7 linked regions of the Cricetulus griseus genome follow. The protein of the gene in region 3 interacts with the protein of the main gene of each other region in a pairwise test. Links are inferred from orthologs where the notes say so. Each region holds a gene or a part of one and is shown on either strand. Other genes may lie near its edges.

Region 1 (3,500 bases), on a different chromosome or scaffold from region 3:
TGTGACACTGGGACATCCCTCACCTCATCGAAGATCTCAAGGTAGAACGAGTCCACACCTGGGGGCACCGTGCACTGGATGACCTTATTCCAGCGAGGGTTCTTGGCACCATTATGTGCTGTGGGAGTTTCATAAACAGCATAGCCCAGACGAAGACGGCAATAAGGGTCCATTCGAGTCATGCCGTAATTCTTTGCTAATTTTGCCTGAAATAACAAGTTTAGAAAAATGAGGCACCCACCAGCAGAGAGGAAGGCAAGTTCTTACCTAAACTACTTACCTCGCAGGTATTTCCTAGAGCATGAAAAAACAGCCTTCAAGTTCACCTAACCTTATCAGTAACTGGCTCCTGAGCATGGTGCCAGTCACTGCTAAACTCACACAACTCTGGGAACCCGGCCACACCTGGCAGCAGGCAACTTAGACAAAATCTCTAATCTAACTGTGCCCTGAACTGTGCACATCCTAGGCCTCAGAATGGAGTTTAGATTAATCAGGAACCATGGTTTGCAGGGCAGTTGTACAACCCAGCTGCTACAAAGGGGTTAGAGAAACCATCCTCATGGAGGACACTACCTAGCATGGACCAATAGTGACTGTAGGTATCTTAGTCAGATCCCTGGGAAACCAACAAGGATCTACTGATTTTTTCAGGGATATTTTCAGGAATAACTAGAATCAACAAAGTTCTACTTGTCTACATGGTAAATGATTTGCAAAGGCTGAAATCTTCATTCCCACACTCAAGCACAGCCCCATCAGTCTTCAACAGGAAACTGAGACCCACCTGTACTACAGTAATGCTGAGGCGGCCCACAGTGCCAACTGCTCCTCCATACTGCAGCTGCTGGGCTGCCTGGGCATCCAGCTGGATCTGCTGCTGCTGCTGTGTGGGTGTTATACGGAGGAAGTCCTGGGGGAGTTCACCAATGTACACCTTTCAGTGAAGATAAAAACAAAACAAAACAAAACAAAAACAGAATAAAGTCAAAGCATGTAGCCAACAATCTCACAGTACTAGCCTACTTCCCTTGGACCAGTGTTTACTCAGGCCCAGTCCAGCTCACCCTCCCCTCACCAAGGCCTAGAGAGTGCTTGGCCTGCTTTTTCACCCACAAGAGTTTCCAGCCTGTCTTCATTTGAGCTTGCTTCCCCTGAAGATGCATACCTTCTTATTCAGAGGATGCTCAAGACAAAACCCTTGGAAGGTTTAGGACATATCTCAGTCACTGAAAAGGCTGGCAAACAGGGCTGGAGGGTGACCTGGTGGGCTCTTAGAAAATACAGTTTTTCAAGAAAAATAGGAGAGCAAAAGGAAAGGTTATCTAAAACTCCTAATAGTGGCCCTGGCTAAGGTTCATATTCTTATGAGATGACAACTGAAACCTACAACAGAGGGAGACCACAGGAATACATGCTGAACCAGGGCTTCCCAGAAAGAAAACACGAGTTGGAAATGGCATACCTGCCTGGGGTCCAAGATAGGAGGGCCAAGGACCAGTGAGGGCAGCCTTGGGAGCAAGCAACTATTGCTTCAACCAGGGTGCCCCAACAGAAGGCAGAACTGCTTGTTGCCCAGTGGGTACAGGTCTGAGGGTTACATAGAGGAAATGCTCACAATTAAACAACAGCAGATGAAGCTCCGCAGGCTGAAAAGCCCACGGGAGGAAGGGCCTGAGCACCAAACCATCTGACCACCCACGTACCTAAGATCATGCACAGGTCTCTGCCACATACTTTCAAAGAAGTACCAATGTCACAAATGTGAACTCTAATAAAGTAAATTTACTAAGAGCTGCTGGGTAACCAGGTTCTGTGGCCCTGACTACCTCCATTGCACACACTACTGCCTATCCTACCTAGCTGTGGGCTCCCACTGATATGCATCACATAGGCCTCCAGTTTCTGCAGGTTTTTCAGCTCACAGCACCTGTCTTCGAGGGGTCTGGCTGCTCTTTTCAAGGTCCCTGAAAAAGGCTGTTATAATGGCTCACTCCTGCAATCCCAGTACCTAAGAGACTAAGGCAGGGGAGTACTGTGAGTTCAAAGCCAATCTGGGCTACATGGTGAGTTCCAGGACAGCTATACATCAAGATCCTGTGTCAAAAAAATAAAGCAAGCAAGCAAAAGTCCTTGGATCCCTTAGTCTGGCTCTTACTAACTCCCTATTTCTGTGTTTCCAGAAAATACAGACTAGTCAGAAGTTTGGAACCAACCAAGGATATAGCCCAGAGTTCTGTGTGGGCCACTCCTGAGCAGTTGGTCTAATGATGTTCCCATTGCTCTCCTCTAACTTAAAAACAAAAACAAAAACAAAAACAAACAAACAAACAAAAACAGAAACCACTGTCAGGTAAGGATCATGGTCTGTGAGGGGTAAACTGGTAACTACTCAGCAGCATGCCCCTCTGCACTTCTGGGGTCACTCAGTCCAGAGCCAGGTTCTCACAGGCAGAGGCTTCCTGGAAAGTAGCTGTGGCCAGTGACACCATCTCTTACCAAGAGAGGCAGAGTTCCCAAAGTCTCTCTGGGATGGACAGCCTTTTCCAAGGCACATCACACAGAGTTTCAGAGAGTCTAGGGAGAACCAAGAAAGGGCTGTGGCACAAGAAGCCAAGAACCAGTGTCTATGGTATACAGGGAACACTGGGTCCCTCCGGAGGGATTCCAGGCTCACACCTGTGCTAGCTGCAATGAATTTAGAGAGTGTACCTCCAAGATGTATAACCAACTTTATCTATGCATCATAAATAGGTGATTAGCAAAACCAGACTTTCTTCAGCCAGGTTCTTGGGATTAACCTACATAGGTCAAGTTCTTACTTGTCATAGGAGTAACTAACAATTGTATATCATATATTACAGCTTTAGGGTCATAGCAGGGCACAACTGTGTCTCCTAGGGATATACCCAGGAGGGCAGACAGGCCAGTAGGTATTACAGTGATAGGTCAGGATACAGGCAGTCATGGGGACAGCTTCAAACATGGAGGTCAGGAAAGGCCATGTGGAGCAAGTCAGAGCTTTTTTTTAAAAATTTTTTTTTTATCTGTCCCTGTCTTGGGACTGAGACCTTCAGACACTGAGATTTTCATATTATACTCTTTCAGGCTTTCATTAAAGAGAAAGAGACTATTGAGGTGGGGGATGGTTAAGATAAAATGTGGCTAGAGGTATAGCTCTGTGGTAGTGCACTGCCAAGCATGCACAATGTAGTAGGTTCAAAGGTTTAATACTTTTGCCCTAAAAAGATCAAATTCAAATGTGCTATTTTCAATAAGATATAGTCGTAAAATTATAAGAAAGGAAAATTTTAACAATTTGAGTTTAACTGTGTTATTAAAGAGTAGAAAAATGACCTTATGGTAGAGAAAGCTAACTCACCCAGGTGAACCATCATTCAAGCAAGGGATGTGAAACACCACTCCCGAATAATGTACCTCCTCTAAAAAACCCCAGGGCAGCCTGAGAGATGGTCAAAGGCAAGGTACTCGGAGATGCC
Region 2 (4,192 bases), on a different chromosome or scaffold from region 3:
CTCCTACCTTCCTTCCTGCATCCCCTGCTCCTTCTTAAGAATCACCCTGCACCTCTGGTTTCTGCAGAACTAAATCCTACTTGCTCTTACTTCCTTTCTAGTACCAAGTAGCTTGAGAAAGAAAACAATGGGTTGCCTGTCAGAAACGTGCACATGAAACACCTCTGCCAATTTCCTTCAGCCTGTGCCTCATTGGCTAAGAAGCCATGGCAGGCCTGCCTTTCTCACAGAGGTGGGAGTAACAGCTATGGTTGCTGAATGCACCTCTCTAATTACTCTTGCCCCCCACAATCCATTCTTCACACAGGAGTCAAAGTGATGCTTCTAATGTTATCCATCTAGATAATTCTGGGCCAGCGAGAGGGCTCAGCTGGTAAAGGCGACTGCTGACAAGCCTGAATGAGTTCAATCCCTGAGACCTAAACAATCAATAAGAGAACTATTCCCACAAGTTGTCCTCTGATTTCCATGAGCATGCTCGAGTGCACACACACACACTAATACTAAATCAGTAAATGCAAGAATCATTGGGAGGAAATGTAATTTAAAAGCTGTAACTAGTAGCTTAGAGTATGAATAAGAGCCTCCCACCTCCCTCTATCCTCCAACTGCCCAGTTTACTCTTCTAGGTTTAACCTCCCAGGATGTCTGTACTTTAAATGAACTTCATAATGTCGCTCAAGCCACAGTTGTAGTGTCTCCATCTTTCCTGAACTCCTAACGAAAGATAGTCCTCTTGAACTTAGTTGCCACACATCTGTCTTCATAGCCCTGGTGGCCTCTTGGAAGTAATTTCACCTGCCAATTGCCTCTCTCGACCCTAAGACACTACACACTCAAAACTTTCCTGTGTTGAGTTCTGTGCTGTAGTCTCCAGTTTGGAAAATAGTGTCCAGTACACAGGGGGCAATCCCATTATTCGCTGAATGACACACTGGGCATGCTAATGCGGGCCTGTAATCCCAGAACTCGGAAGGCTAAGGCAGGTTGAGCGAGCGTCTATATAAAAAATAATTAGGGCTGGGGATGTGGCTCAATTGGTAGAATGCCCATTGAGAATGCACAAAGGTCTGAGCACCACGTAAAATCGAGCTTGATCGGGCACGCCTGTAATTCCCTGCACTCCAAAGCAGACTGGAGGATCAAGAGTTCAAGGCCATCCTTCAGCGAGTTCTACGTGACACCCTGTCTCAAAAATGAAATCGCTGAGTGAATGGACGAATACACTGGCTGCTCGTCTAAAGACCAAACGCGTCCCTCCCAGCCATGCTCCGCGTTCCGGTCCGTGCCACCCTCACCGTCAGCAGCCATGGCGCCCCTAAGCCTCGGAGAAAAGCCGCCCACGGTTCGACGCGCGCACGACAACTTCCGGCGCTGGTGAGTGACGTAAGCCTCAAGCTGGCGGCAACGGAAATGATGCGTGAAGAGCGCGACACACTGTCAACCTGTGGCTTGCTGCCGGCGCGGTTGCGGGCTGCGGGAGGGAGCGATGGAGGACCACGGTGAGTGGGTGGCCGGAGCGGCGGGGACACACGGGTAGTCCGGGCTCGATCCGCTTCCTGCTGTCACTGCTCTTTGTGCCGTGGTCTGGGCCTCTCGGACGCTCGCAAACTGACTTCCCCACACGCTGTCCGAGCGTCCACTTCCAAAGTAACAGTGTGCAGGCCTCCGCAGCTCTGGTGTCCAGAAGGAAGACGCGTTTCCCTACTGGAAGATAGAAGGCATCTTTGGTTTGCTTGCCCATCATGGTTCTCAGAATGTTTTTGTTAAGTGAAAAAGCAAACGAATACACTGATTTTAACGAAAAAGTGAAGTAGGTAGAACTGTAAGCATTTTTACAATTGTGTTTATGCACATGAGTTAACGATTGTAGACTGCTCAAAGGCCTGCAGGAGAAAATAATAACGGGGCTGTGAGGATTCCCTAGACTACTAGCCCCTGGACTTGGTCTCTAAGTTCTCTGCCTTGCACACCAATAGCTTGTTTAAAATATGAAAGAGGTCTGTCCCTGCCAACAGTACGGAATCTTCTCTATCCCCGTCATTGTTTAATGTGCCCTGTAACTTTAAAAGCTACTTTAAAAAAAAAAACCTTTTTGCTTCTTATTCTTGAGGTCAGCAGTTGTTACAAAGTGCCCTAGCCTCATCTTGCTAAGTTCTTGTGATAACCCATTTTTTTCCTCTCTTCCTAGAGTTAATTGAATACTTCAAGTCTCAGATGAAAGGCGATCCTAACATGGCCTCAGCTGTAGCTGCCATCCGCACTTTGCTGGAGTTCTTGAAGAGAGACAAAGGTATAAAGAGTCAGCCTTGAATGGTCTGGGCCTTAGGACAGTCTTCAGATGACTTGTAGGAACGTGGACAGGGAGACATGCATGTTTGCCTACAGTCTCAAGCTCAGCTTCTGTCTCCATGTTCGCCCTTTCAGTCTGGAGGGAGCCCTCAGGCTGTCACTTAAAGGATTCCCATCCACCTACAAAATACACTGGGAGTCAAGAGTCAACAATACAGCCCTAGCCAAAAGGCTTAAATTATAGCAGTAATTTAGCTTTATAGATGAGAACCAAGCTCCTAGCTTGACCTAGATTCTGTGCAAATGCCATAGAGAATGTTCAGAACAATTCTGGTGTTTCTGGGCTATAGTGGTGCCTCACTTCATCATTGCAGGGGAGACACTCCAGGGCCTGAGAGCGAATCTCACCAGTGCCATAGAAACCCTATGTAGTGTGGACTCCTCCGTGGCCGTGTCGTCTGGTGGAGAGCTCTTCCTTCGATTCATCAGTCTTACCTCCCTGGAGTACTCTGTAAGCCCCCCCCCCCCCCCGGAGGCCCTTCTACTTCTCTGTCTACAGATCCTGTCAGCTTTCCTGGGATCTCCCCCCTTCATTTTGCTCTTTTCTCCCCAGGATTACTCCAAATGTAAGAAGATCATGATTGAGAGAGGGGAGCTTTTCCTCAGGAGAATATCCTTGTCAAGGAACAAAATTGCGGACCTATGCCATACCTTCATCAAAGATGGGGCGGTGAGTAGATGGCCCCCTTGTGCTGATAGAATCAAAAGCTTTGGAGTCAGGGTGCTGGGCCTGAAATCCTGACTGTGCCACCATGGACAAGACACTTCTCTGTCCTGCAGTTTTCTTGTCTGTTAATAAGGACAACAGCAGCTGACAGGTTTGGTGAGGCACAAATGAGATGCAAAGTGTAGGCAGTGCTCTGTAAACACAGGTACTATAGAGGCCAGTTACCATGAATAGGAGAAGAACATGGGACCAACATAGATGAGTCTTGAGTTTAATTTTTTTTCCGTTTTGTGGAGGTGGAGATGAAAACAAGGGCCTCAAGCATGCTAGACATGCTGTACCACTGGACTATAACCATAGCTTCTTCCTTAGTAAGCTATTTTTCTAAGAAGTATTTTTAATTACATTTATTTCTTTATTAGGTGTTTGTGTGGGTATGCACAGGTGCCACAGTGAGTGTGTGGAGGTCAGAGGAGTTGGCTCTGGGGATCAAACTTGGGTCATTGGGGTTATGTTAATGACAAATACCTTTACTGACAGAGCCATTTCACCACTCTAAAGAAGTGTTTTTATAGCCAGGCAGTGGTGGCACACACCTTTAATCCCAGCACTTAGGAGATAGAGGCAGGTGGATCTCCGGGAGTTTGAGGATCAAAGCTCCACCAAGAAAGCCTGTCTCAGAAAACCAAAAAGAAAAAAGAAAAAAAAAAAAAAGATGTTTTTATGATTGGGTTTGTAGTTAGTCCTCTAATCTGAAATGAGTCTGACCAGACCAGCTATTACCATGGTCATTGTCATGCATTTGAGCCAATATCAGCACTGGGTGGAGCTGTGACCTATCCCTAGTCAAGTGAGGAATGGCAGGTTCAGCCAGTCTTCAACTTGTCCACTCCACCGGGTAATAAAGCCTTCATGTTTTCTGAGCCAAAAGCACAGCCTTCCCCCACCTCAGCCTCCGCAAACCGTGCCTATATTTCTTGCATTATGGTTCTTAGATGTTGCCCTTGGCGTTACTGCATTTCCCACCTTTGAAGTATGCTGTTAAATATGTGACTTACTGGGAGGTGGAGTTGGGTTTGTGTTAATGGCAGTGTCAGACAGACCTGGGCCAAGTGGAGGCACAACCATGATACTACTCTGCTCAGTGTGTGGCCGTGGTGTGGGTTTCTCGCC
Region 3 (4,230 bases):
TGGCACAGAGCCTCTTTTGAAGCCAATATTCAAGCTGAAGCCGAAGCAATAAATTGGTAACAGACACAAACACATGTTTATTTTATTTTAAGGACTTATGGGTTTTGGAAGGCAGCTACATTCACCAATATACCACCAGCACAGCACTTTATGGGTTTTGGAACTGAGGTTGAGAGTCTGTGGGTGGCCTAGGCCTATAAACCAATCTTAAGAAGTACAGTTTCTTTCTCTGTCTCTCTCACTCTCTCTTTGTAGGTAAGTTCCCTGAGCAGTTACACATGTTCATTACAAACACAGGCAACTAGGAAATCTAAAGAGACGGTTCTCTATGTCCTTCAATCACTGTGCATAAACACTGTTTTGACAATGTTGGTGTCTTTCCTTCTGCAAATAAATACAATTAATACAGAATGCTACCCAGACTCTTTAATTTTTTTTTCTTTTGAGAAAAATTCTTATGTAGTTCAGGCTGGCTTTGTATTCAAAGCCATCCTCACACCTCAGTCTCCCGCATGCAGGGATTACCCAGCACCACACCTGGCTAGAACTTGTGCACTCACTAGATCAGTCTATCTTTCTATATATAAACACATGCATATATAAGTACTCGAAAATTGAAAGAAATTAAACAACAATATGGTGAGATTTGGGTGCAACCCCTCGGTTAGTTTTTTTTTTTTTCCTCTTTCTAGGTTCCTGCTCTGAAACTTCAGCTTTCAAACCCAAGCATCTCTTTCTTTCTATATAAAAGGTTGCATATATAAATAGCCAAAATTGAAAGAAATTAAACAACATTGTGGTGAGATTTGGGTGCAACCCCTCGGTTAGTAGTTTTTTTTCCTGCTCTGAAACTTCAGCTTTCATGCCCAAGCATCTCTTTCTTCCTATATAAAAGGTTGCACAGATAAATACCCCAAAGTGGAAGAAATTAAACAACACTATGGTGGGATTTGGGTGCAACCCCTCGGCTAGTTTTTTCCTGCTGTGAAACTTCAGCGTTCACGCCCAAGCATCTCTTATTTTAGAGCGGGCTGGCAGCCTCAGCGATGGATGAAGGGGGTCAGGAAGCTCACACCTGACCGTCCAACACCACCAGGCCTCCCACCCCCCACCCGATGGCGACCAGGTCCACGCAGCGCAGCGCGAGCGCCCCAGCTTGGCCGGGGGAGGCCTCTCCGTGGACCCCACCCTGCCTCCCACCTCGTAAAGCCGGGCGAGCAGCACACAGATCTATCTCCTCCGCAGCCTGGGACTCGCCGCCCGCAGCAGCAGCTCCCGCAGCCCCGCCCCGCCCCCAGCCCGGGCTCCACCCACTCCAGAGACCCCGCCCACCCGGAACCACGCACACACACAAACACCGGGCTCCGCCCCCATGGCGCGCTGAGCCCCGCCCACCGGCTCTAAGCCCTTCCCCCCGGAAACGGCGCCTGGCGGGCGGTCCGGGCCGTGTGCGCTCCGCCCGGGGCGAGTGTGTGCTGTGCCGCCGCTGCCGCCGCTGCCGCCGGCGGGTCGGGTGCCTGTCCCTCGGGCCTCCATGGAGGGCGACGGCCCCGTCGCCTCGGTCCCGCAGTACCAGCCGGCCTGCCCTGCGCGGGACGCGTGTGTCTACAGCAGCTGCTACTGGTGAGCGCGCGGGCGCGGGCGCGGGCGCGGGGCCCCCGGGGCGCCGCCAAATGCTTCCCCGTCCCGGCGCTCTCCGGAGCGCTGCGGGCCCGCACCGTCCGCGGGAGGAGGGGGCGAGCGCACCCCTGCTCCCCGGAGCTGAGCGGAGGCGTCCCCAGTGCCTGGGGACAGACTGAGGTCCCCGTGGTTTCAGATCCAAGTGCAGGGCGTTTTTCATCTTGAAGACAACGGAGACCCAGAGTTTGTTTTTTGGTTTTTTTTTTTTTTGCAGATTTTTTATTTGAATTAGAAACAAGATTGTTTTACATGTCAATCCCAGTTCCTTCTCCCTCCCCTCCTCCCCTACCACCCCCCCAACTAAAACCCTACTTATCACATATCCTTTTTTCTGTTCTTCCCCTGACTCAACTTTTCTGCTCCCTCATGACCTCTGCATCCCTCCTCTTCTTCCCTTCTCATTCTCATAGCTCCTTTCCCTCCTTTTCCCATGCTCTCAATTTGCTCAGGGGATCTTGACTCTTTCCCCTTCTCCAGGGGACAATGAATGTCTCTCTTAGGGTTCTCCTCGTTTCCTAGCTTCTCTGGCAGTGTGGATTGTAGGCTGGTAATCCTTTACTCTATGTCTAAAATCCACATATGAGTGAGTACATACCACGTTTGTCGTTTTGTGATTGGGTTACCTCACTCAGAATGGTTGGACAGAGGGTTCTTTTTTAAATTTTTAATGTTAATCATTTTTTTATTTGAATTAGAAACAAGATTGTTTTACATGACAATCCCAGTTCCCTTCTCCCTCCCTTCCCCCCCACTACCCCCAACTAAAACCCTACCTATCACATGTCCTTTCTTCTATTCTTCCCCTGACTCAACCTTTCTGCTCCCTCATGACCTCTGCATCCTTCCTTTTCTTCCCTTCTCTTTCTCGTAGCTCCCCCCCCCTTCCCATGTTCTCAATTTACTCAGGGGATCATGACCCTTTCCCCTTCTCCAGGGGACCATGTATGTGACCCAGAGTTTGAGGTGGCGGGAAATCCAGTCAGGCAGCAGACAGCGCTGTCCTGATCATCACAGCACTGTGGTGATCATGGTGGTGGTAATGGTTGCATTTGCACCGTCCTCGTCCTTGTCCTCACCAGATGCCAAGCGTGATCTTAGGTGCTTTGTGTAAATGGACTTGGTTGAACGCCACAGCAACCCCCAAGAGGCAGGTACTGTTGCAGTCAGAACCTTGAGGGGGCTGGAGAGATGGCGCATTGGCTAAGAGCACTGGCTGCTCTTCCAGAGGACCCGGTTCAGTTCCCAGCACCCACGTGGCAGCTCACACCTGTCTGTAATTCCAGTTCCAGGGGCTCTGATGCCAGTGTGCATAAAATAAAGTTAAATATATTATTTTAAAATTAAAAAAAAAAGAACTCTGAGGCGCACAAGGTACGGGATGGCTGTTACTCAGGGCCTCAGGTTGTGAGGCTACTTGTCCTAGGCTGCCGCTCGCCGCTCACCTTGGCTTTTTCATCTCCACACCTTTTCTCTTGTGTAGGGACTTCTTCCCCAACCCAGGAGAAACCTCAGGGTCATCCAAATCTACTCCTCCCCCCTTCACCCGGCCACTCAATCAATGACACTACGAACTTAACGTTTATTCATCTGTCACCTTGGTAGCCCAAGTCCAAGTGCCCCGAGTGGTTCTCAGCCTTCCTAATGCTGCCACCGTTTGGTACATTTCCTGATGCTGTGGTGACCCCCAACCATAAAAGTATTCCGTTGCTACTGTAATTTTGCTACTGTTACGAATCATAATGTAAATATCTGATAGACGACCCCAAGGGCTCGTGACCCACAGGCAATGCCTTGGAGACAGGTTCTATGATCATTATCACCAGGACAAGTTGAGGGATCATCTGTGAGCTTGAAAAACCTGTCCATCTTAGGGTTTTACCCGGAGTGTGGATGTACAGGAAGTAGAGTGGGGGGTGGGAGGGTTAGAAGGATGCTTTGCTCGTCTCTCATTTCATTTATTTGTTTGTTCATTTATTTATTTATAATGTGTATGGGTGTTTTGCCTGTGTATCTGCCCATGCACTGAATGTATAACTGGTATCCAAGGAGGCTAGTGGGCTGAGTCTTTGGGAGGAGCAGCCAGTGCTCTTAACTGCTGAGTCATCTCTCCAAACTGCCCCCCCCCCCACCCCCAAGACAGGATCTCACTGTCTGTCCTAAAGCTTGCTACGTAAACCAGGCTGGCCACCAACTCACAGAGCTATGCCCACCCCCACCTCCTGAGTGCCGGGATTAAAGGCCTGGGCTACCATGCCAGGCTTGCTGATCCTATTTTGTGGGATACTCTTAGAGATAGGGAACAAAGTCCATCTGAGTATCAGTGGCTGTCTGGTTTATTTGTTCAAGGCCTGTGTTTTTCCAACCTCATTTTGAACTTACCTTCTCTGGCCTGTTGCAGGGTTCTCAGCTTTGGCTCTGTTGGCATTTTGAGTATCAAGCCTTTGTTCCATGAGTTTTAGGGTAGGTAATTACGTTTCCTGGCCTGTATCAGACAGATGCTATTGCCAGGTTCCCACACCCCCCAAGTTGTGACAGGTAAACACTTCTCTA
Region 4 (3,500 bases), on a different chromosome or scaffold from region 3:
AAGGCCTTGAGCTGGCCCACCTGCTGTGCAGTGAGAGGGTGCTCCCACATGGCGGTGTTCATGGCAGGGCAGAAGAGTAGGGGCTTGCTGAGGTCCCAGGCCCGGATGACACAGGTCTGTGAAGAAGTGGGAGAGAGGTGTTGATGCTCTGCCTACCACTCCTCTTCAGTACCCCCAAGTCACAGCAAAACAGTTGACTAGGGATGGCTGGGTGTCACACATCTACAAAGATATGTTTTTGCATCCTTAAAGGGAGAGGGGCTGACTCTTCAGCCCACATCATCTCCCCTCAGGCTCTGGCATGGTCCTAGACACAGGGGATACTCAATCAGCACCCATGATGCCCCAGATACCACCAACAGATCTCCACTCTGAATGCAATCTCCCTGCCTAAGCCTTCACATGGGCTCACAACTGCAGGGCTGGGAAGCAATCCCAGGGGGCAGGAGGCTAGTTTCACTATCACTGGAAGGCTAGGAACCAGATTGTTCATGTTCTACTCAGCAACAGCTCTACTCCTAGGCCAAATAGACTCTGAGAATGAAAACATCCAACACATGATACCTTTTCTCAGCCATTATCTCAACTCCCTTACCGTAACCCTATAAAAGTACTGCCCCTTGTTCACAGACGAGCAAGCTGCAACTCCCTAACAAATAAACAGTTATCCAAGGTCACTCTTAGATACACACATGGTCCTGTGCAACCACCCATTGGACTACTGTCTCCCCACCTCCCAAAGCTAGACTACACCCAAGTCACACAGCAGAGCAGCTATGAAAGAACTTGACCAATTCAGATCCATCCTCCCTCCCTCCCTTTCTCCCCCTCCCTCCCTTCCTATTTTCCAACTCAGAGTCTTAAGGTTGTAAACGCTGAACTCATATAAGCTTGAGATCAAACCATAGTTGAATGCTAGGTAGGATGGCATATGCCTGTAATCCCAGTCCTCTGGAGACAGAGGAATCTCAAGTTCAGGACATGTAACAGGTATATATATATATATATATATATATATATATATATATATATATATATTAAAGAAATATAATATATAATGTATTAAAGAAAGAACTGCCAGGCAGTAGTGGCTCATGCCTTTAATCCCAGCACTTGGGAGGCAGAGGCAGGTGGATCTCTGAGTTTGAGGCCAGCCTGGTCTACAGAGCAAATTCCAGGACATCCAGGACTACACAGAGAAACTCTGTCTAAAAAGGAAGAAAGGAAGGAAGAAGGAAGAAAGGAGGGAGGAAGGGAGACAGGAAAGGAAGGGGAGGGGAGGGGAGGGGAGGGGAGGGGAAGAAAGGAAGAAAGAAAGAAAGAAAGAAAGAAAGAAAGAAAGAAAGAAAGAAAGAAAGAGAAAGAAGAAAAGGAAAGAAAAGGGCAACCTGGGCATGCTAGCATACTCCTTTAATCCTAGCCCCAGGGAGGCAGAGGCATGCTGATCTCTCTGAGTTTGAAGCCAACCTGGTCCACACAGCAAGTTCAGGACAGCACTACATAGACCCTGTCTCAAAAAACAAAATAAATAAAAATAAGAAAGAATATGAATACGTTTGATGGTGATGTGGTATGGTGGTTTTTTGAGGCAGTCTTGTGTAGTCTAGGTTGGCCTGAACTGCCTATGTAACAGACGACCTTGAACTCTTGGTCCCCTGCTTACCTAGTTGGTGGAATTAGAGGTGGGTGACCCAAATCAAAGTTCTTAGCTGAGACCCTAGCACTAAGTACAGGCTCCACACACAGGCTCCTCCATTACCCCAGGCACAGGTTCAGGAGCCAGGGACCACCTCCCAGAGAAATAGGCTCCTATGCTCAGATTACACCGGGCACCTCCTCCCGAAAGCTCCTGGGGAGACAGCAACTGTGACACCCCTCCCCAGAAATAGAGTCCTTTCAGGACAGGAGAAGGGAGCAGAGAGCAATGCAACACATAGGTCAGAGCCAGTGCCTGCCTGTCCCTCAGTGCCATTACCCTCTCCTGGGACAGCAAACAGCCTCAGAATCTGGCTGCTTGCGTCATTCCAGACACCAGAGTTGGTTTCCCACCAACTCCTCTCAGCAGGACAACCTGGCTATTAGTGGACAATTTCAGTCACACTTCCCCTTGGCTCTGTGCCACCTGCTACTTTTGCAGAAGTTGTGAGCAAGCCTAGAAGGGCCTTGATGTCTGGTGTAGGGCAGGCTGGGTTGGGTTCTAAACACTCTCAAAGCACAGCACCGGGACCACAGCAAACACCCAACTGTCTGCCCTCGGCATGGCTGCTTCCCCAGTGCTGACTTGGAGCTCAGCACTTCCAGAACAAACCACAGCTCCTCTGAAGCAACCAGCAGTAGGAAGGGGAGAGAAAGAACACTGGTTCCCACAGCCAAGGGGCTGGCACTGTGCTCAGTGTCTCAGCCTGGCCCCTGGGAACCCACTCAGGCAGGGCAGAAGGCTGGATCCTAGTCAAGAGACTAGCACTGAGCCAGACTGTAACCCTGGGGAGTCACCCCCTCTTTCTGGACCTGACAGTTTAGCACAGAGGCGAGGCCAGAGCAGACGGAGACAGACATTTCCAGGCTGTGGGCCTGGAGACAAGGAATGCAGGACAACACACAGCTGCTCTCCAGCACCTTTCTGATGCTGGAGACAGGATGGTCTGGAAAGAGGGAGTGGGCTGAGCTTCCCTTCAGGGTTCTAAGACACCCACTGAGCAGAAGGTAGCCCCACAAGGATGCTTACAGTTCAAACTGCAACACCGGAGAACTGTCTGCAACATCTGTGCTCAGGTCAAACTGTTTGAGGAAATGGTTAGTTTGGGGACATGTTCCACTGTTCAGCCAATTCTGGAGAAGAGAACCTCAAAGATAGGGAGTGTGGCAGCCTGGGGGGAAAAAAGCCAAGCTCTTAGGCCCTGCCTGCAATCCCATCACTTGGGAAGGGAAAGCAAGAGGATCAGGATTTCAAGGCCATTGGGCTATGAGATTATATTTGTTTTATATGTGTGGATGTTTTGACTGCATGTATGTCTGTGTATCACATGTGTGCCTGCTGCCCATGAAGGCCTATGGTGATAGAGTGTTTATGATTTATTAAAGCTTGCCTGAGGATTCAGAAAAGCAAAGTCTGTCTCAAGCTATAGAGATTAGGCAGTGGTGATACACATCTTTAATCCCAGCAGCCAGAAGCTAGGAGATGGTGGTACACACCTTTAACCCTAGGACTCAGGATTAAGGTAGATGGATCTCCGTGAGTCCAAGGCCACCCAGATCTACACAAGATTGATCCAGTTCTAAAGAGAAACAGCTCACACAAAGATGATCTCAGAACCTTTAATCCCAACATTAGGAAGGTATATAAGACGGGAGCAAGGTCTCAGTATCAGGCATTCATTCTCTAGCCATATTGAGAATAGGAACACCCCAGCCCTGTTAGAGGTAAGAGCTCTTTGGTACCTTGGCTGCTTTGCTTCCCTGATCTTCAGCTTGAGCCCAACATCTGTCTCTGTTGGGCTTTT
Region 5 (3,962 bases), on a different chromosome or scaffold from region 3:
GCCGGAGCTAGATAGTGAGACTGTATCTAAAAGAAATAGCTGGGTGAGGTGGCTCACACCTGTAACCCTAGCACTGTGGAGGCTGGAGGCAGGAGGATTGCTACAAGTTTGAGGCCAGCCTGGGCTACAGAGTGAATTCCAAGCCAGCCTCAGCTAGCTATCGAGTGGGACCGTGAAAAAGAAACAAAACAATAACCGAGGAACCGGCAACACAAGAATGTGTAGGTGATATTGCAATTTAAGCTCATAGCAAGGAGATTAAAAAATTTTTTGACATGAGCAAAAATGTGCAGAGAAAAAATGTGCAGAGCTAAGTTACACTGAAAATTTTTTATACATGTCAGGAAAAGCAAGATGAGAATTTTCACATTTTTATTTGTATACATCTATTTGATAACTTCAAATTTAGAACACTTAGCATCAACATGACCAATAATTAAATGACAAATAATTCATGTGGGGAAAATGTAGCTTGTTTATGGAAATTCCCCCTGACTTATATTTGTATCTTACACCATGAAAAGTAGGTTGTGCCTCTTCATAAAAATCACATTTTTCTAACTTGCCAATTTTAATCCTAGAGTACTTTGCTGGTAAACTGGTTCTGATGTTGAGCCGTGAGGAATGAGAAATCTGAATTTTCAAAATGAGCAGTATCATCTAACAGACTCATATTCTTCCCATGTATATAAATTAGGGACAATGTACAGTAAAACTATCCACAATATTAGTAACAAATGTCAGTCTGTACCATACAGCCTGTGAAGCAGGCTTGCACTTTCACAATCATCCTGACAGGAAGTGTCTCAGCTTCACATTTTTCACAACTGTCAAAGATGTCACTAGGAGGGCTTGCATCAAGCATTCATTTTAGGCAGTATGAACCACCTCTACTGTTGCAGCCCTGGCCAATCACGCAATTCTGTGACTGCTACACAAATACGCAGGCCTGACTCCCCTATCCCATCCCCCAGAAAACAAAACAAAAACAGGAGGCTAGGTCTTTACTATGAGAGGCAAGGCTTGTAAAACCGCACAGGGATAACAAAAGCAGCCAGACTGATCCAGGGACTCAGAAGTGCCCCTCCAGGCCTAGCTGCAAAAGGGCTGCCTCAGCTTCCTCTTCCTCCTCCTTGGCTTCCTCCTCTCGAATCTGCACCAGCAACTGGAAGAGGTTGGGTGCCGGTCGTTCCGCAGCCCCAGTCAGCCACAATTGCCTTCGGATGGCCCCACTGTGGTTGGCCCCGGCGATGACCTGCTCCAGGCGAGCCTGGTTCACGTTATCTTTATCAATGGCCCCCTTTTCCACTACCTTTTGTAGCAGAGGCTCCAGACGAATGACGTAAGATGACAACTTTTCCCCGGGGTTCTGGTAAGTGTTCAGAAATCTGACCTGTGTATCTCTAGAGCTCTCCACGCTCCCAAACACCTGCTCAAGAGCCTTCAGGCATTCCGCGGTGGTTATGGCTGGGTTGTTGGTCTTGAGGATGCGAATGACATCAGCAGCAGGGCCTCTCAAACTCTCCATCAACCGCCGTCTCTTTTCTATATCAGACACCTGCCATTCTTCTATGACCTCATTCGAGTGCTCCAGCCAGGAATCAAAGGTCTCCTCGCCAGGCCCGGGAATGTCCCTCCCAGAGAATAGCGTCAGCTTCTTATACCATATGGACTCAACAAGAGGTTGAATAACATTATCCAAAATATAATTGAGCATCTCTGCTGGCATTTCTGGGCCTGGAGCGGGAGCAGGGTTCTGAAACCCAAGCACACGAGCAACATCTTGCACAGTCCACCCTTCCCTAGCTAGAAAGAGGTGCAGCCTCTCCAGAAACTCCGCATCAGAAGTGGGGGGCTTAAAGAACACTTTCCAGAGCCCTCCTTTGCCTGGCATCTCTCTAGGGATCAGGGAGTAATCCACTTCCCCGGTGAGCTCTAACAAGGCTGCCTTCGCATTTTCTTCCCTCCAGAACATTCTCCCCAGTACTCGGTAGGGCACTTGGGGCATGGCAGCTTGGAGGGTCTCTTCGATTTCAGCCTCATCACAGTTCACAGGGATCCCCCAGACCAGCAGAGCTCTCTGAGAGTTCACATCCATTCCCCTGCACCAGTCTTCCAAGAGCGTCAAAGCCATTTCGCCCCACTATTAAGGGTGCCAGTTCTACAGACACCGACTGGACTGGCTCGCAGTGCTATAGGACCTAGGACAATACAACATGCCTCCCTCCCCCGGGTAGGCCAGGGGGCGACAAGCTTCAAGCAACCACAATTACCAGTGACACCGGAGTCCAGTCTCGTCCCTTCCGGGTCCCAAAGTCAGTAGTGTCAGGTGCCTCGGGGCACTCTGCCTATCGAATGTCGCCCTCTTTGGTCCGAGCAGGTGCGGGCTGGCCGCAGCTATTCGTGGCCTCACGGCGGGCAGGGGAGAAGCAAGGTTGGCGCAAGGCGGTGGGCTTCAGCTTCACGAGGGAGACGGCCGGGTGCGGTCGCGGGGTGTGGCAGCTCCCCCCCGCCGCTCTCGGGCCGGCCGGCCGGCGGTAGGCGCGGGCGTAGGGTCACGCGAGGCAGTGGCTGGGAAGACGCCGGGAGAGGCGGTACTCGGGTCCGGCGGCTGCGGCAGCAGGCGAGCACCGGGGACGGAGGCCTCAGGGAGGCGCGGAAGGCGGGAGGCCGGATGGAGGCAGCTCCGCTCAGCGTCTAGAGCAGCGCGCTCCCGCAACGGCCGCCGCCGTGCAGCTGCAGTGCAGGGCGGGGCCGGTCCGCTCGTCAGTGTCGCCGTGGCAACCGTATCCATGACGACGGGAGATGCGCGAGCTCCAGAGGATCTGGCGGTTGCTATGGTACCGAGGGGTTGAGGAGTCTATTTTGTGATGGCGCGCGCGCGCGCGCACACACACACACACGTATTTCCCAGCTTCTTTCTTAACAATAAATATTGCAAAGCATCGTTTTCTTTTTTTCTTAATCTAATTTTGCTGTGAATTTAAGTTGGCCTTATTGATACGCATCCACCACGACAGACTTGTCTGTCTCATGTTGCTCATCCAGCTTATGCATTCACTATGCAGCCCATGAAAACACTCAGCACTCTGACTTCTGCGTACCTCCTGACCACACACCACAGCTGCTGCTTGCTCCTCCCCAGGAAAGCAAAAGACAGAATGCCATCTCCAGGTTCCTGTGAGACTTACTATGCTTTCTTGCCTAAATTTTGTATATATATATATAAAAAAAACCAACAAAATGCTGCTGCTGCTACTTCTTTGTAGCCAGGCAAACTGCAAACACTTTCATTTCTTGATCTTACTGAGTATACAGGATAACAAAAGAGAATGCTTAAGGCTCAGAAAGGTAGGGTAAATTCTCTTCAAGCAAGGCCTGTCAATCCCAGCTGGCAAAAACATCCCTATAAATCAGGCGGGCCTTGGTGGCCCATGCCGTTAATCCCAGCACTCGGGAGGCAGAGGCAGGAGGAGCTTTGTGAGTTCAAGGCAAACCTGATCTATAAATTGAGTTCCCGGCCAGGCTCCAAAACTACACAGAGAAACCCTGCCTCAAAAAATCAAATAAATAAATAAACACACAAACCCCACCCCTATAAAGATATGGCATTGGGGGCTGGATAGAAGGCTCACTGGTTAGGAGCATTGGCTGCTATTCCAAAGGACCTGGGTTCAATTCCCCGAACCCACATGGCAGCTCACACCTGTCGGTAACCCCAGTTCCCAAAGATCTAACAACCTCACACTGATACACATGCAGACACAGAACACAAATGCAAATAAAATAAAAATAAACAAATCGTTACAAAAAAAAGAATATGGCGCCGGGCATTGGTGGCAAACTCCTTTAATCCCAGCACTCGGGAGGCAGAGGCAGGCGGATCTCTGTGAGTTCAAGGCCAGCCTGGTCTTCAGAGCAAGTTCCAGAACAACCTCCAAAACAATACAGAGAAAACGTGT
Region 6 (4,060 bases), on a different chromosome or scaffold from region 3:
TAGACCAGGTTGGTCTTGAACTCACAGAGATCCACCTACCTCTGCCTCCCAAGTGCTGGGACTAAAGGTGTGTACCACTACTGCCTAGCTACAGCTTTACATTTCAGAAAGTTCTGGAGTCATTTCAATTTTCTAATTTCAATTAATTTGTGTGACTCATACATAATCCTTTGTACTTTCTGGACCATAATCATGTAAAGTGAAGAGCTTGGATAACAAGTGCATGACCCATTCCAACTGCCCATCTCTAAATCCATCCTATAATTTATGTTAATAAATACAAGGACGTATGCGCCAGTCTTTCCGTTTGTATGTACACTTGTATGTGTGCCTGAGTGTATGAATGTGTACCACATGTGTGCTGGAGCCTGCAGAGATCACAAGAGGCATCAGATCCCCGGGAACTGGGAAAACTATACAGTGATGAGCCACCACCTGTAGGTGCTAGGAACCAAATGAACCATCTCTCCACCCCCATGCCCTGATCTTTCTTACACACAGGCATTTTAATCAGGAGGTTGGAAAATTCAGGATCTTTGATGTTGGTGATGGTGGTAGGGGCTCAGTATCAAACAGCCAGGTCTCTTGGAGCATAATGGTTCATATGTGCTGAAAGGACAATGTATACATGGGATGACTGTCACTCCCAGAGCACTGCAGGATATATATATATATATATATATATATATATATATATATGTGTGTGTGTGTGTGTGTGTGTGTGTGTGTGTGTGTGTGTGTGTGCAAATCTAGCTTTTAGAGTCAAAGCTATCAGTGATTCCAGTAAGAACAGTGTTTTGTTTGTAGGTTTTGCTCCCTTTGTCCTTTGAATAGTATTATACAAGTAGGGGGCCCCCTACTTTGGAAAGCAGGGCTGTCCTGTGTCCAACCCTTAGATGTGGGTTTTTATTTGCTATCATCATTTGTGTACTGTTGTGCTCGGTATATGTGCTGTGTCTACAAATGGTCAACAACAGATCCTGCTCTCAACACCGGAGGAAGAGGCATTTGAGCAGCTGTGCAGTGAAAGCAAGGACAAATCAATCAGCCAAACCCTGGAAAGGCACTGCAGCCAGATGTTCAGCTGTAGCATCAAGCCTGGGGGAAGAGGGTGAAGGTGAGAGGCCAGCATATGCTAGCCTGAGAAGGGCTGCTGCTCAGCTAAGACTTGCTACAGGTCCAACAGGGGTGCGGCATGTCTAAATCCATTGGGTTGCCCACCCCCACGGCTTGGATGGAATCTGAGACCTCACACACACACAAGGTGTGTGCCGAGCTACACCTGGCCCACTGCAGCATTCTCTTCTAAACTGAGGACATTTATGACAGCCATGATGGGCCTTACCAAAGGGCAGCGGAAGAGGAGAGGAGCCTGGTGACAGCTCTAGTTGGTAAATAGAGAAAAACATGACCAGTGAATCCTGTGAAGAGCCTAACATTACTTCTTCATGGAAGTTTTCTCTCCCCAGGCATGACCTGCTCTTTTTGACCCTGGCCACTCTGAACACTGAGTCCTGACAGTCACTCTTAACTCATTGCCCAACCCCTTAAGACTCCAGGCTTCACGATGGTAAGTTTTTGTCACTTACTCATGACTGTCTTAGTAACTTGCTTAGTGTGTGAAGCTAGCAGACATGCAATAAGTATTTCTTTCTCTCTGTGATTACTTTTTCTCATCTATCTATCTATCTATCTATCTATCTATCTATCTATCTCCTATCTACGTTTTAGCAGTGCCAGGGATGGGACATGTGGCCTCATACATGCTAAGCAGAGTTCTACCATTGAGCTCTACACCTAGCCCCAGATTATTTTGTGACTAAAATGTTTCTTGCATCAAAAACAAAAGTCACATTGAAAGCATGATCAGAGAAGGGAAGACGGGGGAAACATAATTTTCCCTCTGGTGGATCCCTGTAAGTGAAAGCCTGAGGCTAGCGAGGAGGGCTTCACCCAGGCCCTGTCATGTGCTGGATCTATTTCATGCTGGCCCTTGACTTCCTAATCTATGCCGTGAGGTAAACAGACAAAAATTCTTCTAAGCCCAGTATTCTGTGTTTGAAAAGGTAGTCTTTGTTCTGCTCCTCTTTCCCTGGCTTCCCTGTCTCAGAAATCTGTGGTCACAGGCAAACATCTCATGATTTAGCCCGAGAAATGGAAGCAGTCTCAATACATTTAGGCCGAGAAAGAATCTCTGCACATTCTAGAACTGGTTCTGGGGAAGGGATGGCCATTTTATTGATGAATTAGGGATCCAATTACTTTCATGAAAAGCAGAAAGAGAGAAAGTGAGAGAGAACCAGCCCTGCCTGCTGTCTCTTGGACTTGACCCTGTCCTTCCCTTTCCACACTTGCAGTCAGAGCCCAGCAGGCCTTTGCCAGGATCCTTCCCCCGGTGCCCATGTGCACAGCTGTGCTTGGGGAGGTGCTGAGTGGGAGGACTTCTCTGAGGGCAAACTCTAGCCAGCTACAAAACCAGTACACTACTCACCGGAGGTCTCTTCCAGACAAACTGGATGGGGAACTTCTGGCTATAAAAGAGAGAGGTCTCGTCTGGTGGGAACTCAGGATCCAGATAAAGAACTTTCTTCTCCAGACACTTTTTGTGGAGCTGCTCAAACGTCTTCTCTTTCACTCCGATAATTGGAAAATTGCGGCTGATGATAGCTGAATAGATGCCACTTGGGTGTCCACCTCCAGCCTCGGTGGTCTTCCCTTGGGCTGGGTGAGGACCAGGTCCTGGGGACCTGGGCTCAGCTCCTGTCCTTGGGGCCACCGTTGCACTAATGACGGTCGGCATGGCAGGCAACTTTGGAAGGAAGATGTTTTCAAAGAAAACAAGATTCAGCTACCTTCAAGGGAAGGAAGCTATCGCAAAGCGGAAGTTAAAGCGACCCTCTCATCTGAGAGTAAATGGGCAGATTCACTTCAAAGTTTAAATCCTATCAGAAAGCTGGCTGGCTTATGACCAGCTTAAATAGCAGAGCTGTGATCCTGAAGCCATAGGCGTTCCTCAAGAAGAGACACTAAAGGGTTTCAAAGCGGTTTCTACCTGGGGGCTCCTACCAGCAGCATGCTTGCCAGAGGGAGAGAAAGAGAGTGAGGGTTGTGTTTCAGTAGCCTGAGGAAGCTTAAGCCAGGAAAACTAAAAATAGACATGAAGTGAAATGGTGAGCATGAGATCAAAGGCCAGCGAATGGCTAGACTGGGTGGGAGAGAAGGACCTCGCTGGGTATTTCTACACTGACATTAAGCACTTTTGTTGTCAAAAAAGGAGAGCATCTGAGACAGGTGAACACCAGAAATCAGAGAACTGTGCTGAGGACTAGGCAGCCATACAGGCTACCGATGCAGTTGCCACCGGATGGATGCACAGGAAGCAGTATTTGAAGAGCTAGCTGGAATCCAAGCCACGAGAGCTCTCAGGGCATAGTCCATATGTTTTAGAGAACGTGATTTTTACTTTATAAAATGTTAGTCTGTCAAATGTCACTTAATATTAGAGTATCTTTTCTAGAATGTTCTGGAGTCAGTTTTCAGTTCAACTGGGTAGAAAATGCTACTCAGCAGAATTTTCAGTCAAGGAAATCCCTCTCTTCCCAGGCACTGGACTTAGACACCCCCTGCCTCTTCCTACCCCCAAATACACACTGAGATCAAGACTACTACAAAATGTGTATCCTAGAAGATTATTTGTGTAGCCACACCACATCAGTATCTAGACAGAAGCTGGAAACAGATACTGAGCCAGGTTGGTGTCAAGTCCAAGGATGCCATGTCTAGACTCGGCTTCAGGGCTTTTAAATGAGAATGAAAGCAGCCGGGGAAGGGGATTGCTTGCTGGGATTCCACCTGTTTTTTACCCATGTTAGTTGCCCTCCATGTCACAATAAGATGGATACATCTGAAGTCTGGCTGAGTAGAGACTTGCCTCAGCTTGCAGCTGTGCCTATTCCTAAGTGACCAGCTTAATAGATCCAGGTTTAGAAGACATGGGAAAGGGTAGGAAGTGACAGCTGAGTGCCACATAAGTGTGAGGATCTGAGTTCCCAGTAAAACT
Region 7 (3,500 bases), on a different chromosome or scaffold from region 3:
TTGTTTTTTACAGATGGTTGTGAATCACCCTGTGGCTGCTGGGAATTGAACTCAGGACCTCTGGAAGAGTAACCACTGAGCCATCTCTCCAGTCTTCTAATACAAAATTTTAAAAATTAAGAATAAAACAAATAGAGCAACAACCAGGTAAGCAAAAGAACTCTAGGTCTCTGGAGCAGACATTGTGAAAGTAGAAAGTGCTGGGAGTGGTATTTCCTTCCTGTTCTCTGAGCCAGTGCGCTAGGTCTCCTGTGTCCTGGCCCTTAGTGGGTACCTTGACCAGTGGCCACTGGTTGGGCTGGTTGAGCAGCTTCACAATGGCCGGGATGCCATAGTTGAGGCGCACAGAGTTCTGGGCCATCTCAGCCTCCGGGTGGCGGCTGGTAAGGTGACGCAGGGCACAGACAGCAGGCTCTGTGATGTCATCCTTGTCACCGGCTCTCAGGATGGCGTGGATGAGTGCCTCGACGCCACTGTTCTGTGTCACCAGCGTCTTGTTTTTGCTGTTGTTGCAGGTCAGGTTGGAGAGGGTGCCTGTGGCACAGGTGAGGACGTTGACATCGTCCACACTCAGCTGGTTGACCAGGATCTTCAGCACGCTCTCCAGGCCCTCCTGAGACAGGAAGAGCATGAAGCGTAAGGAACACGTCATCTCTACACAGCCTCCCCAGTAGGTCTGAGGGCAGCGGATAGGCTGAAGGGCTTGGTCTTGCTTTTATGTGGCCAGGAACCTTCACCCCATGGCCTTCCACGCCCTGGGGAAAGCTGTTAGCCTCTCCTGGAGATCTTCCCACAGACCCACAGCTGCAGGCCTGCCTCCAAGCCCATGGTCCTTCCTCTATCCCATGTGCTCCATCCCTGCTGGCCATAGGAGGCCTCTGGTCAAGAGGAAGCTAGCAAGGAGGTCATAGGCTTCAGTGGTCAGCTGGTCCCCTGTCGCATACTTCTCACCTGGCTGGGTCTTCTCTGTCACACCAGGGATCCCTAAGCTAAATCTGCTTCTGAGAAAAATCCCCAACTCAGAAACCTCTCTTCTCCCAGGGAGGGCTGTGTGGGTCTAGTGGTGGATCCAAAAGACTATCGGTCTCAGAGATACACACAGTCATGGGTCAGGACGCAAGCTCTGCCATCTAATAGCTCTCAACATGGGCTTTCTCTTAACTCCCTGAGCCTTAGTTTCTCCCACAACCAATGGGGTTGCAGGATCCCCTTCTAGGGAGCTAAGAGGGTTAAAGTCAGTTCAGCTCCTGCCTACAGAAGCCATGCAGAATGAAGGGTGCTTGCTAGGTGGTGGTGATGGGTAAACACATGGATACAGTCTGCTTGGAAGGTGGTGCCAGCAACTTGCCCTGAATCAGCAGTGCTCTGAGGTTAGTGTTTTGTGTGTGTTAGTATTTTGTGAGGTTAGTGTTTTGACTGCCTGTATATCTGTGCACCATGTGTGTATGCCTAGCGCTCTCAAAAGCTATAAGAGGACATCAGATGCCCTGGAACTAGAGATACAGACAAATGCTCTTAACCACTGAGCCCCTGTACTTGAGTTTTATGGAACAGTACTGCTCCTGTCCCAGGGTCAAGGCTCAAATTGTCCCATCACCATCACCTGAACCCCAACTTAAAGATGTCAGCCTCCTTCCTCTTCTCATAGGTCCCCGAGGTCATATGCCCAGGTGGTAGGCTGACAATATGGTTTCAGAGAATGGCCCGGGCCCAGACTTACCTGCTTGGTAGCCACATCTGAGAGGTTGCGTAGAGTCCACAGGCAGTTCTGCACCAGGCGCGGGCTGTTGCTTGTGAGATGCTTGCCCAGAGCCTGCATCCCACCTGGGGATGGGACAGAGGTCCTGTCAGCCTTAGGGGGGCCAGATTGCTGCCAGGGCAGGGGCCCTACCCCAATCCTCCTGACCCCACAGGTCACTCCTCTATAATTTTACTTTTAAAGGGTTATTATTATTATTATTATTATTATTATTATTATTATTCGTGTGTGTGTCTGTGTGTCTGTGTGTCTGTGTGTCTGTGTAATGTGATGTGCAATGCCCATGGAGGCCAGAAGAGGGCATCAGATCCCTTGAATTTGAGCTACAGGTAGTTGTGAGTCACCGAATGTGGTTACTGGGAACCAAACTGAGGTCCTCTGGAAAAGTAGCAAGAGCTCTTAAGCTATGGTCACCTCTCTAGTCCCCAACAGGCCACCTTGAGGTTCTCACTCACCAGCCTCCACAATGGCGGGCTTATTGCTGGGACACACAGAGAGCACCTTGAGCACACGGCTGGTGGTCCAGAGCAGTTTCTCATAGCTGTAGTTCCTCATGATCTGCACAAGCCCCTGAGGTCCCCCATTGGCCAGGATGATCAGCTGTGGGGAGGGAAAGGCAGAGTGTAGGATAACAGGCTCACACACCTATGTGTTCACGTGTGTGAGGGGGTGATGGAGCTCTCATTATTAACCTTTTAAGACTTTGGTGACTATCAAATAAGCCAATATCTTGGGGAAAAAAACTATTAATACCAAATGCTGGCAAGGATCTAGCAAAGGGAGTCTAGCACAGCATTGTCACTAAAGGCAGTGTAATGGGTAACACGATGTAACCCTTTTGGAAAGAGAACAAACACACTGAGTAAAAGTCTAGAAGTGTTTAGAAACAAATAAATAAAAAGAAAAAGGCCTTTAGCCCTGCTGGCTCTGGTGTTCCACACCTCTAATCCAGCAGTTAGAAGACTACAAGGAGAGTTAGGGTTCCAGGTCACCCTGGGATAGATAGTGAGACCCTGTGTAAAACACACAGAGAGGGCTGGAGAGATGGCTCAGCTGTTAGCAGCACTCGCTGCTTTTCCAGAGAGTCTAGGTTTGATTCCCAGCATTCGCATGGCGACTTAAAACGATCTGTAATGCCAGCTCTAGGAATGCAGCACCCTCTTCTGGCCGCCATGGGTACTGCAAGCCATCTCTCCACCCCAATCCCCCAGCCTTTTTCAATTCTAGGGATTGAATCATTCAGCATGCTAGGCAGTATTCTATCACTGAGTTATATCCCTAGCCCTAATTTTTTCTCAAACCTTAAAATATTAGTTCTGAGGAATTCAGAAACAGGATATGAGACACATTCATCTATATACACATTAGTATGCCTTCCGGGAAGTGGCCTGAAGCCACTGGATACTGTAGCCATGGTGAAGGGACCCACCTTGCTCTCCTGGTTGCCATAGGCCAGGAGCTGCAGGCAGTCAGTGGTGATGGCCAGGAATTTAGGGTTGTTCTTGTTGAGTAGGGGTACCATCTTCTGCAGCCCATCTGCCAGGCGCACCGCCATCTTGGCGCCCTCCTGGTACAGCAGCAGGTTGTGCAGCGTGGTAATGGCATAGAACAGGACAGACTCTACAGGAGAACTGAGGAGTAGGCAGAATCCATGTTGAGTCAGCTCCCCAGACCCCAGTCAGAAAGCTCACCCCCAATCATCACCCCTATGCAAATATCCCTTTACTAAAGTGTCATTCTT

What was found.
Region 1: the proteins of protein N-terminal glutamine amidohydrolase (region 3) and Tollip interact in binary tests that used the Homo sapiens proteins (3 or more experiments, as listed by UniProt). The two-hybrid records come from large-scale screens. The link is inferred for Cricetulus griseus from reciprocal best matches to the Homo sapiens genes NTAQ1 and TOLLIP.
Region 2: the proteins of protein N-terminal glutamine amidohydrolase (region 3) and Eif2b1 interact in binary tests that used the Homo sapiens proteins (3 or more experiments, as listed by UniProt). The two-hybrid records come from large-scale screens. The link is inferred for Cricetulus griseus from reciprocal best matches to the Homo sapiens genes NTAQ1 and EIF2B1.
Region 4: the proteins of protein N-terminal glutamine amidohydrolase (region 3) and Ppcdc interact in binary tests that used the Homo sapiens proteins (3 or more experiments, as listed by UniProt). The two-hybrid records come from large-scale screens. The link is inferred for Cricetulus griseus from reciprocal best matches to the Homo sapiens genes NTAQ1 and PPCDC.
Region 5: the proteins of protein N-terminal glutamine amidohydrolase (region 3) and Pnma1 interact in binary tests that used the Homo sapiens proteins (3 or more experiments, as listed by UniProt). The two-hybrid records come from large-scale screens. The link is inferred for Cricetulus griseus from reciprocal best matches to the Homo sapiens genes NTAQ1 and PNMA1.
Region 6: the proteins of protein N-terminal glutamine amidohydrolase (region 3) and Capn3 interact in binary tests that used the Homo sapiens proteins (3 or more experiments, as listed by UniProt). The two-hybrid records come from large-scale screens. The link is inferred for Cricetulus griseus from reciprocal best matches to the Homo sapiens genes NTAQ1 and CAPN3.
Region 7: the proteins of protein N-terminal glutamine amidohydrolase (region 3) and Jup interact in binary tests that used the Homo sapiens proteins (3 or more experiments, as listed by UniProt). The two-hybrid records come from large-scale screens. The link is inferred for Cricetulus griseus from reciprocal best matches to the Homo sapiens genes NTAQ1 and JUP.

What each region holds. Positions count from the first base shown.
Region 1 is NC_048596.1:59,291,283-59,294,782, reverse strand, and holds part of Tollip (toll-interacting protein), read right to left. Parts: intron 938-3,500; coding exon 788-937; intron 207-787; coding exon 24-206; intron 1-23. UniProt on the Homo sapiens protein: Component of the signaling pathway of IL-1 and Toll-like receptors. Inhibits cell activation by microbial products. Recruits IRAK1 to the IL-1 receptor complex. Inhibits IRAK1 phosphorylation and kinase activity.
Region 2 is NC_048597.1:104,284,476-104,288,667, reverse strand, and holds the start of Eif2b1 (translation initiation factor eIF-2B subunit alpha), read left to right. Parts: upstream 1-1,392; 5' UTR 1,393-1,489; coding exon 1,490-1,502; intron 1,503-2,191; coding exon 2,192-2,293; intron 2,294-2,666; coding exon 2,667-2,803; intron 2,804-2,905; coding exon 2,906-3,022; intron 3,023-4,192. Other genes in the region: Gtf2h3 (general transcription factor IIH subunit 3), read right to left, coding at 1,299-1,311.
Region 3 is NC_048603.1:29,486,347-29,490,576, reverse strand, and holds the start of protein N-terminal glutamine amidohydrolase, read left to right. Parts: upstream 1-1,430; 5' UTR 1,431-1,534; coding exon 1,535-1,623; intron 1,624-4,230. UniProt on the Homo sapiens protein: Mediates the side-chain deamidation of N-terminal glutamine residues to glutamate, an important step in N-end rule pathway of protein degradation.
Region 4 is NC_048597.1:169,043,918-169,047,417, forward strand, and holds part of Ppcdc (phosphopantothenoylcysteine decarboxylase), read right to left. Parts: intron 117-3,500; coding exon 1-116. UniProt on the Homo sapiens protein: Catalyzes the decarboxylation of the cysteine moiety of 4-phosphopantothenoylcysteine to form 4'-phosphopantotheine and this reaction forms part of the biosynthesis of coenzyme A.
Region 5 is NC_048598.1:119,613,726-119,617,687, reverse strand, and holds Pnma1 (paraneoplastic antigen Ma1), read right to left. Parts: upstream 2,801-3,962; 5' UTR 2,135-2,800; coding exon 1,073-2,134; 3' UTR 346-1,072; downstream 1-345.
Region 6 is NC_048599.1:58,022,642-58,026,701, forward strand, and holds the start of Capn3 (calpain-3), read right to left. Parts: upstream 2,801-4,060; coding exon 2,492-2,800; intron 1-2,491. UniProt on the Homo sapiens protein: Calcium-regulated non-lysosomal thiol-protease. Proteolytically cleaves CTBP1 at 'His-409'. Mediates, with UTP25, the proteasome-independent degradation of p53/TP53.
Region 7 is NC_048600.1:113,438,299-113,441,798, forward strand, and holds part of Jup (junction plakoglobin), read right to left. Parts: intron 3,391-3,500; coding exon 3,189-3,390; intron 2,360-3,188; coding exon 2,215-2,359; intron 1,825-2,214; coding exon 1,721-1,824; intron 614-1,720; coding exon 275-613; intron 1-274. UniProt on the Homo sapiens protein: Common junctional plaque protein. The membrane-associated plaques are architectural elements in an important strategic position to influence the arrangement and function of both the cytoskeleton and the cells within the tissue.